2 linked regions of the Caenorhabditis elegans genome follow. The protein of the gene in region 2 interacts with the protein of the main gene of each other region in a biochemical or structural test. Each region holds a gene or a part of one and is shown on either strand. Other genes may lie near its edges.

Region 1 (7,734 bases), on a different chromosome or scaffold from region 2:
ATGTATAAGACTTCTCACTTTAGCCGGTTTAAAAACTACAAATAAAGGTTTTTAGCATTAACGTTTTAAAGCAATTCTCAAAATAATACTGATCTGGAAAATTAATGCAATGGTCTTGTCTTTTTCAATTTCAGGTATTGACTTATTGTTTAACCTTTAAACTTGTAATAAAACAATTTTTACATTTTATTGAAGCACATCAAATCCAAAATTTTATTTATACTGAATGAAAAATGTTTCAACTAGATTTTGTCGAGTTCTGACAGCATAGTTTCGTAGACAAATCAAGAATTTTTAATTTTGCAATAACGTAACATCAAAACAAAATCGTAATTTATTTATTACCAAAACAAAGACGAATTAACTGAATGAATGAAACATGAAAAAGACCTGTATATAACACGTTGCAGATTTCAAACTATGCTGTTTTTTAATCAAAAATACAAATTGTCTTTGTAAAGTGTATCTCCACTAAACGTCTAACCACTGGCAGCAAAAAAATACCTATTTTGAAAATATGGCTATTTTTGTTTCCTCCGTATTGAATTTTTTTTTGAAATTCGAATTTTCCGAGTAGCAAAAAAGTGCCGTACATGAAAAAATATAATTTTTTTTGTTCTTTCAAGTCGATGTACCACCGTCTTTGCAACTACACTATTCACTCCAAAAAAAATCCAAGAAATTTTTTTTTTGCTACCACCATTAAAACGTGTGGAAATTATTTTAGACTGGTTAATTGCGAGTAGCAAAAAAGTGTCCTACCAGAAAAAATAGCAAATTTTCTGTTCTTTCAGGTCGATGTACCACCGTCTTTGTAACTGCGCTATTCATTTCAAAAAACACAAGAAATTTTTTTCAGAATGTTGAACTGGATGCAATAAAAATTTTAAATAATCCACTCTTCGAAATTCCGAAAACAGAACAAGACTTCACTGTGGTGATTTTCATTAAAATCAATATGTGGTAATTTTGTATACTCTCTCTATTTTCTGTTACGGATAAAATAAAAATTGACAACGGAATTTCTGAATTTGAAACATGCATTCAAAAAAAAAAACGATTCCTGTTGGTAACACATATGCACAGCACACTTAAAATGAAACAAACCTGATAAGACATTTTTTAAACTTTTAGGTTCAGTATTTTTGTATTATCTATTTGAAAAGTTACTATTCATTCATTTTTCTTTTTTCCTTAAAATTCTTGTTGCGGATGGAAAAACTAAACCTGAAAATAAATCAAGTGAATACATTAAGCTTTTTCTACTTTTTCCTTACAATGTAATAATTGAAAAGATGCATTTATGAGTTATCGTGATGTCTATTTTTGATTAGTCTCCTGTATTAAAAATCGCGGAAAGCATCAATATGGCCTACGTTTTAAACATCCTCGTCCGTACAGCCACTATCTCTTCCATTACCCTTCATATAATTACACCCGCGTGCCTATTCGCCCTTACACAGTCACTCAGTCCGTCCGTCCAGTCGACTTGTCCTCTTTCTCTGCACTCTCCGATCCTTAACCACTACTCACATGTAAACACACGCGACCGACTGCGATGTGTTCTTTTGCGCCGACCTCCTCTCGCGGACGAAAAATCAATAGGATGGCGGTCATTCGAATTGTGTAACGAAAGCGTTTTTTTTTGCTGCTTTCCGCGTTTTACTAGATTTATTTATAGGTTTGGTTTCCGTATTAATAGCCAATTTGTAGATTATCTAACTGCACTAATGAAATTCGATGGATCAACGTAATCAAAAATCTTTGCTGCCCGACTTTTCGGCAAATGGGTTTTCCGGGCAGTTTAATGGTAAGCAATAAGAAATTAAAAAAAAAAACTTAAAATTTAAAATTTAAAACTTATTGTTAAACTTATTTTATATGCATTTTTATTCAGGAATTCCTCATGGAAATACCAACGCAATTATGTCAACAATTCAGTCGTTGCAAATGCACAGCATGGGCAATCAGTTGTTGCCTCATGGCGATCTCCAAACCGATCTCCAAAATCAGTTTCTTATTGAGCAAGTGAGTTGGAAAATTCTAGCAAAAATATATTCGAGTGACAAAAATGTTAAACTACTCATTTTTGAAAATAAGATAGGATTATAAATCTGACGTGAGCTGTGTATATCATTTTGACTATCTTTGTCGCATACTTTGCACTTGAATTATTATTTTATTTACATAACTTTATTAAAAGCTAGTCGAAACTAAATTTGTATACTTCTTGTTGTTTCAGTTCCAACTAAGAGCAATGCAATCGATGTACAACACTTTTAACAACGGAAACCAGAAGCAACCTCAAGCAAGTCTTACAATGTCGCAGTTCAACTCAATGACTGGGAATGAGCCATCTACCTCAAGCAACGTGTTCTCCGCATCCATTCCAACTACTTCAGGAACACAAATTGTAAGTTGGTTTGTTTCAACCGCTTTTTCTCTTTCTCAAAAAAATTTAATTAAAAAGTAAATTCCGTTCATTTATTCAATGTATAATTTCAGAACGCATCTCAACCTATGATTCCCACCACATCAATGCATAATCTCGCTGTTCAGAGCTCTATGATGCTCGAAAACAAACTAGGACAAAATTTAAATCTAGTAAGTGGCATTGGTTTGGATAATAAATTAATTATATTTAACATGTGTGATAAAGTTTCAGAAAACTACCCAACTCGCACAAACGACCATACCTCAGGCACAAGCTGCTGTTGAAGATTGGATGAAAAACATTTGTGTGGATTCTTTACTCGACCCGAAACAAGCAAAGACACCATCAACAACACCATCTGCACAAGTTTCAGCTGGAACCACATTCAATAGTACTCCAGCAGTATCTTGTGCCACCCCACTGACGGCAACTGTAAGCCTGGCGACTAAACCTTCGGAACCATCTGCTGCTTCGTCTATGCCGACGTCTTCGGAATCGGTGGACGCGACGAAAGGGGACGCGATCGACTTTGATGATGAAGCGCATGATGATGTAGACAATATTTTTGGATTATCACTTTCGGAAAGTGACGTGAGGTCCGGCTCGATGTATCGACGGCCCGATTCGGCGGATCGTGTTCATAGTCCTATTGATGTAAGTGGGAAAGGATGAGTCTGGAAAAAAGAAAATTACAGTTTTCACAAAATTCGTTCAAAACTAAAATGATTGAATGAGTTTCTTTACCTACTATCTTTACAAAAAAAAATTCCAATCAATTTCCATTTTTAGTCAGTCTTTTCTAGTTTACGCCACCCGACTCTCCCCAAGCTGAACTGACATTTGACGAAATATTTGGAATATCAGCACCATCGACATCTGCAAAAGCCGCCACCAAAGAAAAGCCAGTACCGAAACCAAGGAGTGAAATGGTATTTCATGATGTTCCATCCACAAGTAAAGACGGTAAGAGTATATTTTTTAGTAAAACTAATGGGTATTTCGCTTTGAGAAAAATACACTTGTTTGGAATAATGATATACCACAGAAGGAAATTTTTTTCACCGACAATCTTCCCCATTTTAGATATCGCTACAGGGACGCGCGGCAATAAGGAATTTCCGGCAATAGGTAATTTCGGAAATTTCCGCCAACCGGCAATTCCGGCAATTGCCAGTTTCCAAAATTTTCGGCAATTTCGGCAATTGGCGAAATTACCGAAATTGCCAGTTTTCAAAATTTCCGGCAATTCCGGCAATTGGCGAAATTGCCAAAATTGTCTAAATTGCCGGACACGTTCTGCGATTTTCAAACCTAAATATATTTTAATAAAATTGAAAACATTCCACCCCTTTTTGTTAGTATTCGGTTAGTCTTTTTTTTAAAGAAAATGGTCAATCCTTAAAGGAATAAATCATTTTGAGCTTGAAAATAGAAAATTAATGATTAAAATGCATGTTTAGGCTCCTAAATCCTCAAAAAGTATCAAGTTTATTTATATATTTCCGGCAATCGGCAATTCCGGCAATTGCTGGATTTCAAAATTTCCGACAATCGGCAATTTTGGCATATGCCGGTTTATGAATTTTCGACATTCTGAAACTTCGGCAATTGTTGCGCACCCATGTCTCGCTATGTTTTCCTTAACCAGACCTCAATTTTTATGGAATAAATTTTTTTGTAGATGTCTGCAAACCACGTTAAAAAATGTTTATCAAAATGAAATTCATCGTTTTTATTTTTGAATAAACATTCTTCAGACTCAATAATCTCTTTTTAATATCATTTTTAAGTAACTTGTCTTTAGAATTAGTTTTACCAACTCCAAATCACATTAATCAAAACTAAATTACAGCTACTCCACAAAGAGTCCCGAAACCTGCTCCAACCGCTGCATCAAAAGAAGAGGATGACTTTGTCAACAACTTCGTTAAACCACAAAATGTAATCCACATTTACAAAATGTTTTTAAAAATTCAAATGTTTCAGGTTCCTGTGTACAAACAAAAAGCTGCCCTCATGTCCCTTGAAGCAAGAGAAAACGCTCGGAAAGAAGATCCAAACTATGATGCTTTTGAGTTTGAGGATGACGATGATTTCGTGTTTGGTGGGCCTTCGGCAGATTTGAGGCGTGAGCCTGAGCTTACGAAGAAGATTGAACAGAAGGCGAAAAGTGTATACATAACTGGAGTAGGGTTTTCAATTCGAAATGATAAAGAAAAGGAGTATAGTAGTAAGAAATATTATTCCAAACCATCAGCAACTCATCAGCCGAATTTCAATGACACAATTAATGGTAATATTTAACTTTACAATACCATATATTTATATCAAAATTACCTATTTCAGAGAAAGCATTTTTCACGACAGCTGATGAAATTCGTGCTCAAAAAGATCAGCAACTGGTTTGCGCATTCTTAAAACCCGAACAAGTTACCAGCACAGAATGCGTGAGGAATATGAGAAAAGTGACACGAGAAGAGCCAATGCTTCCGAAATTTATAATAAGGGTTGAGCAAGTGCAAAACCAGCATGAAGAACCAATGACTAGAAGGCGATATAAAAGAAAGAAGAACAAAAGTGATAATGACGACTCGGATTTTGAAGATGTGGCGTATAGGAAGAGGAAAACGGCAAAGAAAGTGTAAGTGGAATTTGATTGGGAATGGGAGTCTAGTTATTCTTCATGGCAAATAAAAAAATAAAGTAGGGCTTCCATGCAGGCGCCAAAACGCCTACCGGGAGCGGAACCCAAAAAGTGTCGGGCGCGGCGATAGAACCAAATTTTCAATATGTAGTTTTGAAGAAACTACGACTGTTTCAATTTATGAAAGTCCTATTTTCAGTTACACAATGCACAAAGAAAATGATCCCACTTTTCGACGAACTGTCTTGGACTTTTCAATTGGTCCATGCGTCTCTGATGAAGAAAAGAAGCGCGTCAGCATGTTTGGCCCGGCTGAAGGAATTTTACCCGTGAGCTTGAATTGATCGTTCTGTTTTAATTCCCAATTTGTGTATTATCAGAAAGGAACATATGTAATATGCAAAGCTGACATGCTGAAAGAAGATTGCGCTGTATGGAGAGTTGACAATCAGAATTTACTTCAGAAGTTTCCTCCGTTTAGAGATAGCAAAGCTAATCGACTAGTCTATCGCAGTAGTAGTACGGTAAGATTTGATTTTTGAGAAAGCGCAGCTTATATTTCACAGTTTTCAGTATTCGGGATGGTGCGAACAAATCTCATCACAATACTTCCGGGTCGCTGTGAAAATTATCAAACAGACACGTTCCGAGACAACAGTGGAGCCCGAAGTCCCCCTTGCCGAACTGTTTCCGGCGTCCTCTGTGGAATGGTTCAAGAATCCTGGGACTGTGTTTTTTGAAGGTATTTTGATAATTTTTTTTTGTTTCACCTTCTTTTATAAATAAATGTTGCAGAAGAGACGAAGGTTGAGCCAATAGACGATGATTCAATTTTAACGGAGCCAAGACGAGTCTCCCTAAACACTCTTGTCAACGCGTACCTAACACAGGTGTTTACAAAAACCCACGTGGAAAGCCTCATAGATGATAAAGGTAAGGTGGTTACAGAAGGACTTCTGACACGCTAAGCTTATTTCATTTTGAATGCCCAAAATTCAAATGGAAAATAAAGAACCATATGTTTTCAAAACAATTGTTAAAATTCCTTTAGGTCAATTTACAGAGCGGCGGCTCACTGATGCACATAGTGTTTATAGCATAGAATTGTTTTTTTTTTCTGTTAAAAAATTTGAACGATATCTCAAATAAGGTCTACAGGTTACTGTTCGCCGAAATGATTTTGCGCACAGCTCTGCGGTAGTTTTTGAAAAATTTGTAACAAAATACATGAAGCCTTATCAAGATCAATATGTTTTGAATTTGTTCATGCAAATTATAGCAAACTTTTCAAAATGTGCAAACTTAGAAAACTTCTTGAAATGTAATAAAACGTAGATCACGGCTCCCGTGTAACATAATATCACAAAAGAAAAATCAAAAAATAAAATGTTTGAATTCGATTAAAACTCGCCACTTTTTCAGATTGGACCTATTCTCGTTCAATAGCAGAACTCGAAACCAACAACAAACAATGCGAAGGGCTGATCAAAAAACGCATACCTGTCGAGCCGAAACACAATCGATGGATTGCGAAATACACTAGATTGGCCATATCAAAATCATCATTTCACTGCTTTACAAAGTGTCAGGTACAGTAAATATAATAAGATAGGGAAAGGAAGAACATCTAGTTGATTGTTCATTGTTTGCTACAGAATATGCAGAATATTGGAAATAGTGGTTAGTTGACATAAATTATATGATTTAGAAACTGATCATCAAAACGAATGAAGTCTATACAACTGTGTGTTTTTGCAGATTTGCAAACGGAAAAAGCCGCGGAGAGTGATTCACTTTTTCGACAAAACATCTTGCAATGAAAAACTGCTTGTGGAGAATCTATCAAGCGATATCCATGATGAAAATGAAGACGATGAAGAATATCCAATTGTATCTGATGCGATATCGTGTGGTCGGTGTTCAATGGCAGTTGACTTTCTTCACCGCATGCATCATATTAAATTCCATATGCTTAGGATATGTGAGGATAAGGTAATTAATTTAAATTTTAAAACAGTGTTATGAAGCTAATTCGGTTCTTTTTTACAGCTAGAAGAAATTGGTACATCTGATATCGACTTGACATCCGATAAGATTGTGGAGAAAGCGAAAGCCGACAAAGTCTGGACGCTTGGTGTCATTCAAAAATATTGCGATTTATGGGATCAAGTCCGTTACGAGTTTCGCGATGTGTAATACTGTAATAAACAATTTGAACAACTTTTATAACACATTTTGATTTTCGATTTCTGATTTTTCGACTGATATCCCTGAAAAATAATAGCGAAGAAGAAGAATGTAGTGTTTCTGCGACGGCTGATCACATGGAAACAAATGCTGCGCACTTATTTCTTGAACTTTCCGATTGCCTGTGCTTTTCTTTTCTCATAATTAGTTTTTCAACACAACTTTTGTAAAAAATTTTGTAAGAATTTTTCTGCGTAACATAATTCAATTATATTTTTATTTTTATTTATACGATATTGGCCAAATTTAAAAAAAACAATCCAATGTTTTCGAAAACTGGGCACTTTATCAGAACGTGTTCTGAAATTTTTTTTTTCAAAACTTAAAAAAGGACTATTGTAAGTGTATCAAGACAAAACCCCCACTGAAACAACTTCTTTAAAATAGGCCCATACCAAAAAATAATTTT
Region 2 (7,811 bases):
TCAGTTAAAAATGTCATCTATAATTTCATAAATTTATTTATAACCATAAAAACCATTTAGGACTAATTAGGCATTAAACAAGGAGATCATACACATATCAAAATGAAGGCATTAAGAACAATTTGAAACATGTTACAAGAAAAGGCAAAGATAGTAAAGGGGTTTTTTCAAAAGTGAGGTTTTAGGCAGTTTCAGGACTATATTTATTATTGTACATTCCACGGATTCCATGCATTATTGGAATTATCTTGATTATTCGGGGTTCCAGTCGGTGGAAGCCCGGCTGCTTGTAGTTGTTGTTGAAGTTGCTGGAGTTGAGCCGCCTGAGCCAAATCCATTTGTCCGTAGGTTGGAAGTGAGAATGGACGGAGTTGCTGTTGTTGCTGCTGTTGTTGTGGATCAGAGTTTGTGGAGAGATTGTTGAATTGCGGTTGGACAGCACTCCGGTTATGTGGAGATCTGGAAAATAATGTTTAGAATTAATGCGGCACTGCTTTTTGCAAAATTTACAGGTAACAAACCTCATCACCAAGTTAGGTGTCATCAAAACTCCATGTGTATTGTCTGATCCTTCAGGTCCACCACCACCACCACCTCCTTGACCACCTCCAACAGAATCTCCCGGTGAATCCTGTCGCTGCATCTGATGATGATTGTCCCGTAATGGAACATTCATCATAGACATACAGCCAGGTGATTGGGCATGATGTTGATGTTGAGATGGATGAACGACTGAGAAGGCACGCTGAGGAGATGAAGGGTTGCCGTAAGTTGATGGTCCACCGTAATCGTTGGGATTCGGAGAGTACGTCTGGAAATTGATAAATGAGAAATTTCTAGATTCTAAGTTTGTATAACCCCAAACGGCCGATTTTTCAAAAATCCCAAAAACCATCAATTTTTCCTTGTCGAAGCAGCTGAAATATAGTTTCTATTAAACTATAACCCGTTATTGCATATTTTCGGTACTAGATCTTGCTGAAATTCGCCGATTTAGGCACTTTTAAAGTCGATAGGCATCCAAAAATCATCAATATTGGCATAATATGACCAAAATTGGATGCTTATTGACTTTAATAGTGCCTAAATCGGCGAATTTAAGCAAGATCTAGTACCGAAAATATATGCAATAACGGGTTATAGTTTGAAAGAAACTATATTTCAGCTGCTTCGACAAGGAAAAATTGGCGAAATTTCAGAAATTCTGTCGCTTGGCTCTTCGTTAATTCAATAAACCTACCGAAAAGTCATTAGTAGCCTGCCAATTGCTAACAGCATCATCAGAAGTAATTGGACGGAACAGAGCATCCGGATTATTCACAATATTGCTCGCGGCAGCCAACATTCTCTGTCTCTTATACTTTCTTCGTTGAGTCTTTTGGAATGTGAGCACTTCCGAATTGTGATGCTTGATGATGTGCTCCTAAAAATTATGAAAATTATCAAAAATTATCATCTAAAATGCTCAAAAACCTTAAGCTTATCACGCCGACTAGATGCATATTCACACTGATCACACTTGAACGGCTTCTCCTCCAAATGAATCCTCTCGTGACGGACCAGATGTGATTTTTCGATGAATCCACGGCCACAGATCTTGCAGAGATGGGCGCGAACCGCCATGTGGGTACGGAGATGGGCCGCCAGTTGGCTTTTTTTGGTCGACGAGTAGTCGCAACCGGCTGAAAATTAACAGTAATGTTTTCAGGATCTTTAAATATGTCATTTTATAGTGTAGTTTTCAGGATCTTTAAATATGTCATTTTATAGGAAAAATAACAAAAAATTGCTCAGATCAACTCCATAGCTGTTTAAACAATACTCCATGTTTAAAAACTCGAAAAAATTACGCACAGCGTGAAGCGAGCTGGGAAAGGCCCTGCATTGGAGAAGAAGAAGCTCTGAGAAAAGTTCTCTGCAAAAGCGCAAAAACTAATGAAACACGTCGAAATGATTTTATGTCGAGCGCGACGATAAAACCATTACCAAATACCTACAGTACCCCAGTGTGTGTTCGGCAGAAAAAAAAAGTGAAAGTGATATGATCCACAGATGATCTAACCACTGTTTCTATCTTCAGCCGCCGTTTTCTTTCGTTTTTTCGACCATTTTTTGTGCGGAAAAGGCGGCGCTGTGTCGCCAAGGAGAAACGAAAATTAATGGAATAGTACGGGTGATAAGGAGACGCAGCGAGGGGGGTTTTTGGTTGGAAAAAAGTAGAAGTGAACTGCGCAAAAGTCATCCAAATGATGGATCGGTTGGCAGGTGATAACGGAACTATTCTGGCATTCAGTGTATTCCAATGCGTGGTGTTACAGGAAATACAAACTGACCAATGTGACAGCTAAAATTGTCTCCAGTATGTTGACGACGATGAAGGGAAAGATGATCGGCGGTTTTGGTGGCGAAACCGCAATCCTCACAGATATAAGGCCTGAAATTTGGAAGAATTTGATGGAAATTGTGAAAATTCTGAATTTGAATAAAAGTCGCCTTGTTTGGTTTTGAGACAATTATTATTATTGCCTCCAAACGTTACTAGCAAAATTGGAATTGCCTCAAAATCAGATCTTGCATGGTTTTTTATTTCAAATTCGCACATTATTAACTTTCAGATCTCGAAATTTCATAGTAAAAACTTACCTAGGATCATTATGACTAGCAACATGATGATCCAATGTACTATGCTGTTGGAATCCTCTTCCACACTCTTCACAGTGTAATGATCGATCATCGAGTACAGAATGCATTCGTTCGTGAGCAAACAGTTGAGAACGAGTTCGACCTTTCCATGCACATTCACCGCATTTGAAGAAACGCTCGTCGGCTGAAAATTTGACAATTTTAGAGGGTTTTTTTGTTTCTTTTAGAAAGTAATTTTGGAAAACAATTTTATTCAGCCGTTTTTTTTCGGTTTTAATGTGTTTCCTTCGGCAAAGTCAACGTGTGTCTGATGGTAAATTTAAAAAAAAAACAGAAAATTGAAAGCTTAGCTATTCATTCGATTTTTTGGAGATTAATTAAAAATTTAAATTGATATTGTTGGTAAATTCTGAAAATATGAAAAAAACATTATCGATCAATTTTTTTACAAAAATTAATTTTCATAATTTGGTTTTTTAAATGAAAATAGGTTTATATTTCAAGAAACATTGTGAATTTCAGAAAAAGAAACGATTTATCTGAAAATACATTTAATTTTTTTGTAGTTTCAAAAAAAAAGAGTTTTTTTTTCAAAATTAAAAAATGTACGTTTTTTTCCAAAATTTTTGTAAAAACTCACTATGCTGAAGCCTATGGGTCAAAAACTCTTGTATCTCATTTGAAGTGAACGGACACGTTTCACATCGATACGGTATCTCTGTCCAGTGCTCAGCACAATGAAGATAGAATTGTTTGCTCCAATTGGTTTCAAATTCACATAAATGACACATATAATACGTATTGCGATTGTGATGACGAGCTTTGTGCTTTTCGAGAAGCTGAAAATATGAGGAAATTGTTGAAGAATCGATCGAAATATTTTACAACACTTTTCTGGTTTTTTTTTTTTTTTGGTTTTTTGGAACATAAAACTCATAAAACCAGCAGAAGATCGTTCGTACACGAGTTTGTTTTTACATTTTCCCAAAATATGGAACTTTACATCAAAATATTTTTAAAAAAATAAATTATGCATGAAAGTTTCCAAATTGTGCTGTAATTCTTTAAAAAAATATTTTTAAAGATATATATTATATAGACACAAAAATTTGCAATTTTCGAGCCTGGTCTCGACACGACAAATTTTCGTTAGAACCGAAAACAATTATGCGCCTTTAAAGATTACTGTACGGTGTTTTTGTTGATTTTTCATAGTTTTTTTTTCTAAAATTTAAGCTTTTTAAAAACTATTTAAATTTCGGAATATTTGGTTGATAAATAAATATATTTTATCGAAAAACTAAAAATAATCGATAAAAACTCCTCAGATTGAAAATACAGTAATCTTTAAAGGCGTAAATTTTCTTGATGTAGCCAAAAATCGTCGTGTCGAGTTTTGTATATTAAATAAACGCCAAAATATGAAATTTTCGCCAAAATCTGGTCAGGTCTCACCACACCGACAACAGGTTACTGTAGCCCATTGTTCGGTGTGTCGAGACCTTTTTGACGTCTAAAAATAGAATAAATCATATTGACGGTTTAAATTTGAGAAAAATAATATTTTTTTCGCATTTTTTCAAGGTTTTAATTGATTTATTTTTTGTCAATACCTCCTCATTTGCAGTCCGCAGTCCACAGAAAATACAAGTGGACGGTCCATTCTCATCAGGTTGATCTTCTTCATCTTCACAATCATCTGGATCCAAATTGTCAACTGGTCCATAGGTATGACATCCTTCCAATGAACATGTAGCATATACACCATCAATTTCGTCTTCGTCGATCCATGGAATACCTGGAAATTTTATTGATAAGGAATTTGACAGAAGATTTCTTCAATTTTTGATTTTACAATTTCACAAAATCCCTTTTTTTTTGAGAAAAAAAACCAGCTCACTTTCATTTTCCGTCGCATTAATCGGTGGAATTGGGTGCAAATGATGTTTTTTCATTCCTTTTGGTCGTTTTAATCTAAAATTTTCCATTGAATTTTATCAATTTTTTCATATAATCACTAACCGCTTCTTCTCATTTCCCGGCTGGAATGCAATCTTCATTTTCAGTCGATTATTAACATCATTTCCGTATTCAACAACTTGTGCAGATGTTGGATGTCCATCAGCTATATAATCATCTGGATCCTCTTCAGAATCACTTGAATCATAAATATCATCTTCAAATTGAGATGGATCGTGGAGAATCGGAAGATCAACGATTTTCTGACGAAGACTGCTCAGTTGAGTCGAGTACTTTTCCATAAGCATGTTATTTGTTTCCCTACAAAAATTATTTCATCAGTAATAATTTTGTAAACTTTAACAACTCCACTTACATGACATGTAGTAGCAAAAATCGACTTTTCTGACTTTTCGATAGCAACGGCGAGTAATCCAGAAGAAATTCCAGTGTGTCAGCTGAAACTTCTCGAAATTCGCAGGATTCTAGTAGTAATCGGAAGATTTCCTCTCGCTTCGATACTTCTTCACCGACCCAGCGGACTATTAATCTGAAAAAATTACTGTTTTAGTCATTTTGGAACGAAAAAACTCACTTTAAATAAGTGTCAGAAGTAATACAATCCACGTATTTCGGATCTCCAATGAGTCTTGTCAGTTGTGTATACGTGTAACCAATTATATCTCTGGATTCCAGTAAACATCGATTAAGATTGCTGTCAAAGTAGTCTGTAGCAGACTGAAAAAAGAAATTCGAAGTTTCTCGCTTTTAAAGCTTTAAAAATTCAAATTCTTACTTTCACAAGTCCTGGTAGATTATATCTCTGAGCTAACGTTCGTATTGATAAGCAATTGGCCGCGTCTAGATATCGATCCAAATAAGCTGCACAATACACTTTTAGCTTCACTATCTGAAAAAAACGGAATTATAGCAGGAATAGTCGATCGAAAAATCAATAATATTACCAGAAAATTATTTGCAAATCTCAATAGCTCCGAAACACTTGATCGATCGATAATCACTGTTCCACTGTACATATAATTGAGGAATAACTCGAAAACTTGTGGAGATTTGCTATTTATTGTGAGCTGTTCCTTTGTGATTTTGCAATATTTGAAAATTGCGTCAAAATATGGACTGTGAGCTGCTAAAATGTTTCGATGAGCCGCAAATGATTTGTTTTGAACAACAATTTCCACATCACAAAATCGGCCGGTTTTTCGTTGATATTGTAATCGTTGGAACACTGAAAAATAAAAGTTAATTTAATTATCAAGCCAAGATTGAATTAAATACAAAACTCTTACACATATGACTGGTTTGCCCAGAACTATCATCAAATGTCATTGGACAGAGCCCTGTGTTTTCGGAACTAGCTACTAATGTCATCTGAAATTAAATTGAAATAATTTTCATTGCGATTTTATAATTTATTCGATGGGAAACTCACATTTTATCGAGGAAGACGTCAATAAACTTAGAATAAATGCTCCGATTCAAATCGGGTGAGGAGTGTGCAGACGCGCTCTACTGAACAATCTAAAAGATTATCGATTTGCAAATATTATTTCAATGGATTTTTAACGATAGTTATATATTTAACGAAATTCAAATTTTATTCGAGATTTCAAAAAAAGAAAATATATATCTGAGCATAACGACACATAAAAAATTTAAAACTGAGCGAAATTCCAATTTGTAACATATTTTAACAACGAATTAAAGCTGATGTAGACATTGTTCTAATCGGCGTTTTTTTAATGAATTAACAATATAAGTTAGTAATAATTCAAGAAAGAAAAAATAAATAATTAATCATCAGGAACCGGCGTTTCAATTCTAGAACCATTCTCGTATTCTCCATATGGTGTTCTATAAAATTGAATGACTTTCACAACGAAATCATTCACTTGTTCGTCTTCTTCTTCGTATTCTCCAAAACACGGAACGCCATTATTGTGAATTGTAGACTCAAAATCTTTGTACTTTGTATCGCTTTTATTCTCCAGAACAATCAACATCGGAGTAACAATTTCAGACGCATGTGAGACCGGCTCCACGTCTTTCAGAAATTCAGCTTCAGGGTTTTCTGTATCAACTGCACACGTTGTGAATGGAAATTCGAGCATCGGCCGTACGAGTGCACATCCTTTATAGAATTTCTGAAAATAGTGAATTAAAAAATATGAAAATCCATGAGACGCTAAATTTTGTGATTTTCGTGCCAAAAATAGAAAAATATCGGGGTAACGACACGACATTTTTTGAAAGTTAAAGGTGGAGTACCGAAATCAGAGACTTTGTTTTTTTTTAACTATAATGTCGCAAAACTGACGGATCTATCAATAAAACTTTCAAAATATTTCTGAAGAAAACATGTCGTGTCGAAACCGGGTATTGTATTTTTCACCAAAAATCGCAGAATCTCGCGTCGATGTAATATCCCACCTTATGTTTGATAATCAGACTACACGCCACAAAAGATCCAAATTCAAATCCATACAAGTAAATATATTTTTCATCTAACCGCGCTCCGTGTCTCTCGAGAACTTCTAGTACAGTTTCCTGTAAAAAAAATCATAAAATGAGGAAAAAAACGAACGATTCTCTACATGAACATCATTAATACATTCCGAACCACAATTCTTTGGAAAGCAGGTTCCTGGAATTGCTATAAATGGCTCCCGATAGTTTACAACTAGCACACAGAAGCCACAAGTTACCATTGTAGAGAGCACAGGGTCAACGGTACTGAAAATTTAAATTTAATTTTAAATTTATAAATCAATTCTTTATAAACAGGGAAAATTGCTATTTGAACATTTTTAAATTAAAAAAATAAAGATAGAAAATTGCGGTTGAAATTGAAAGCTCGATCCGTGAATTTTGCAATTCTTTCGATGCTTTTTTTGTTGATTTTTCAATAAATTTTGAGTCTAAAGAAAAAAAATCTACCTAACGGTGAAATTAGGTTCTAATCCGGAAAAGGGGACCACGACCAGCGGGAACTTCGATCCGGGAGAAACACATTCCGGCAACATGTAGAGTATCGCAGAATTGCCAATTTTTTGAAAACTCATTGGATAAATGTGAAAATTGTGAATCGTATCGTTTTCTGGCTTGTGTGTGCATAACAGCGATGCCGTGAATTTACCATCACTTTGTGAGCCCAATTGAGAATGCCAAAGACGAGAATAAGCGTTTGCTGT

What was found. Proteins that work in one complex are often made in the same cells at the same time.
Region 1: the proteins of eor-1 (region 2) and eor-2 form a complex in vitro, tested with the Caenorhabditis elegans proteins (one study listed by BioGRID).

What each region holds. Positions count from the first base shown.
Region 1 is NC_003284.9:14,601,352-14,609,085, forward strand, and holds eor-2 (EOR-2), read left to right. Parts: upstream 1-1,713; 5' UTR 1,714-1,740; coding exon 1,741-1,810; intron 1,811-1,897; coding exon 1,898-2,028; intron 2,029-2,242; coding exon 2,243-2,413; intron 2,414-2,505; coding exon 2,506-2,604; intron 2,605-2,659; coding exon of another isoform or gene 2,660-2,665; coding exon 2,666-3,088; intron 3,089-3,237; coding exon 3,238-3,397; intron 3,398-3,517; coding exon 3,518-3,562; intron 3,563-4,286; coding exon 4,287-4,375; intron 4,376-4,420; coding exon 4,421-4,727; intron 4,728-4,780; coding exon 4,781-5,075; intron 5,076-5,277; coding exon 5,278-5,407; intron 5,408-5,458; coding exon 5,459-5,602; intron 5,603-5,651; coding exon 5,652-5,820; intron 5,821-5,873; coding exon 5,874-6,011; intron 6,012-6,500; coding exon 6,501-6,667; intron 6,668-6,836; coding exon 6,837-7,070; intron 7,071-7,127; coding exon 7,128-7,274; 3' UTR 7,275-7,303; downstream 7,304-7,734.
Region 2 is NC_003282.8:4,793,186-4,800,996, forward strand, and holds eor-1 (Zinc finger protein), read right to left. Parts: upstream 6,003-7,811; 5' UTR 5,992-6,002; coding exon 5,910-5,991; intron 5,849-5,909; coding exon 5,568-5,848; intron 5,513-5,567; coding exon 5,399-5,512; intron 5,341-5,398; coding exon 5,198-5,340; intron 5,153-5,197; coding exon 4,979-5,152; intron 4,924-4,978; coding exon 4,666-4,923; intron 4,618-4,665; coding exon 4,544-4,617; intron 4,442-4,543; coding exon 4,257-4,441; intron 3,483-4,256; coding exon 3,284-3,482; intron 3,228-3,283; exon of another isoform or gene 3,079-3,227; intron 2,828-3,078; coding exon 2,644-2,827; intron 2,435-2,643; coding exon 2,334-2,434; intron 1,683-2,333; coding exon 1,474-1,682; intron 1,424-1,473; coding exon 1,241-1,423; intron 812-1,240; coding exon 522-811; intron 460-521; coding exon 207-459; 3' UTR 9-206; downstream 1-8. Other genes in the region: dpf-7 (Dipeptidyl Peptidase Four (IV) family), read right to left, coding at 6,414-6,764, 7,051-7,167, 7,215-7,353, 7,558-7,811.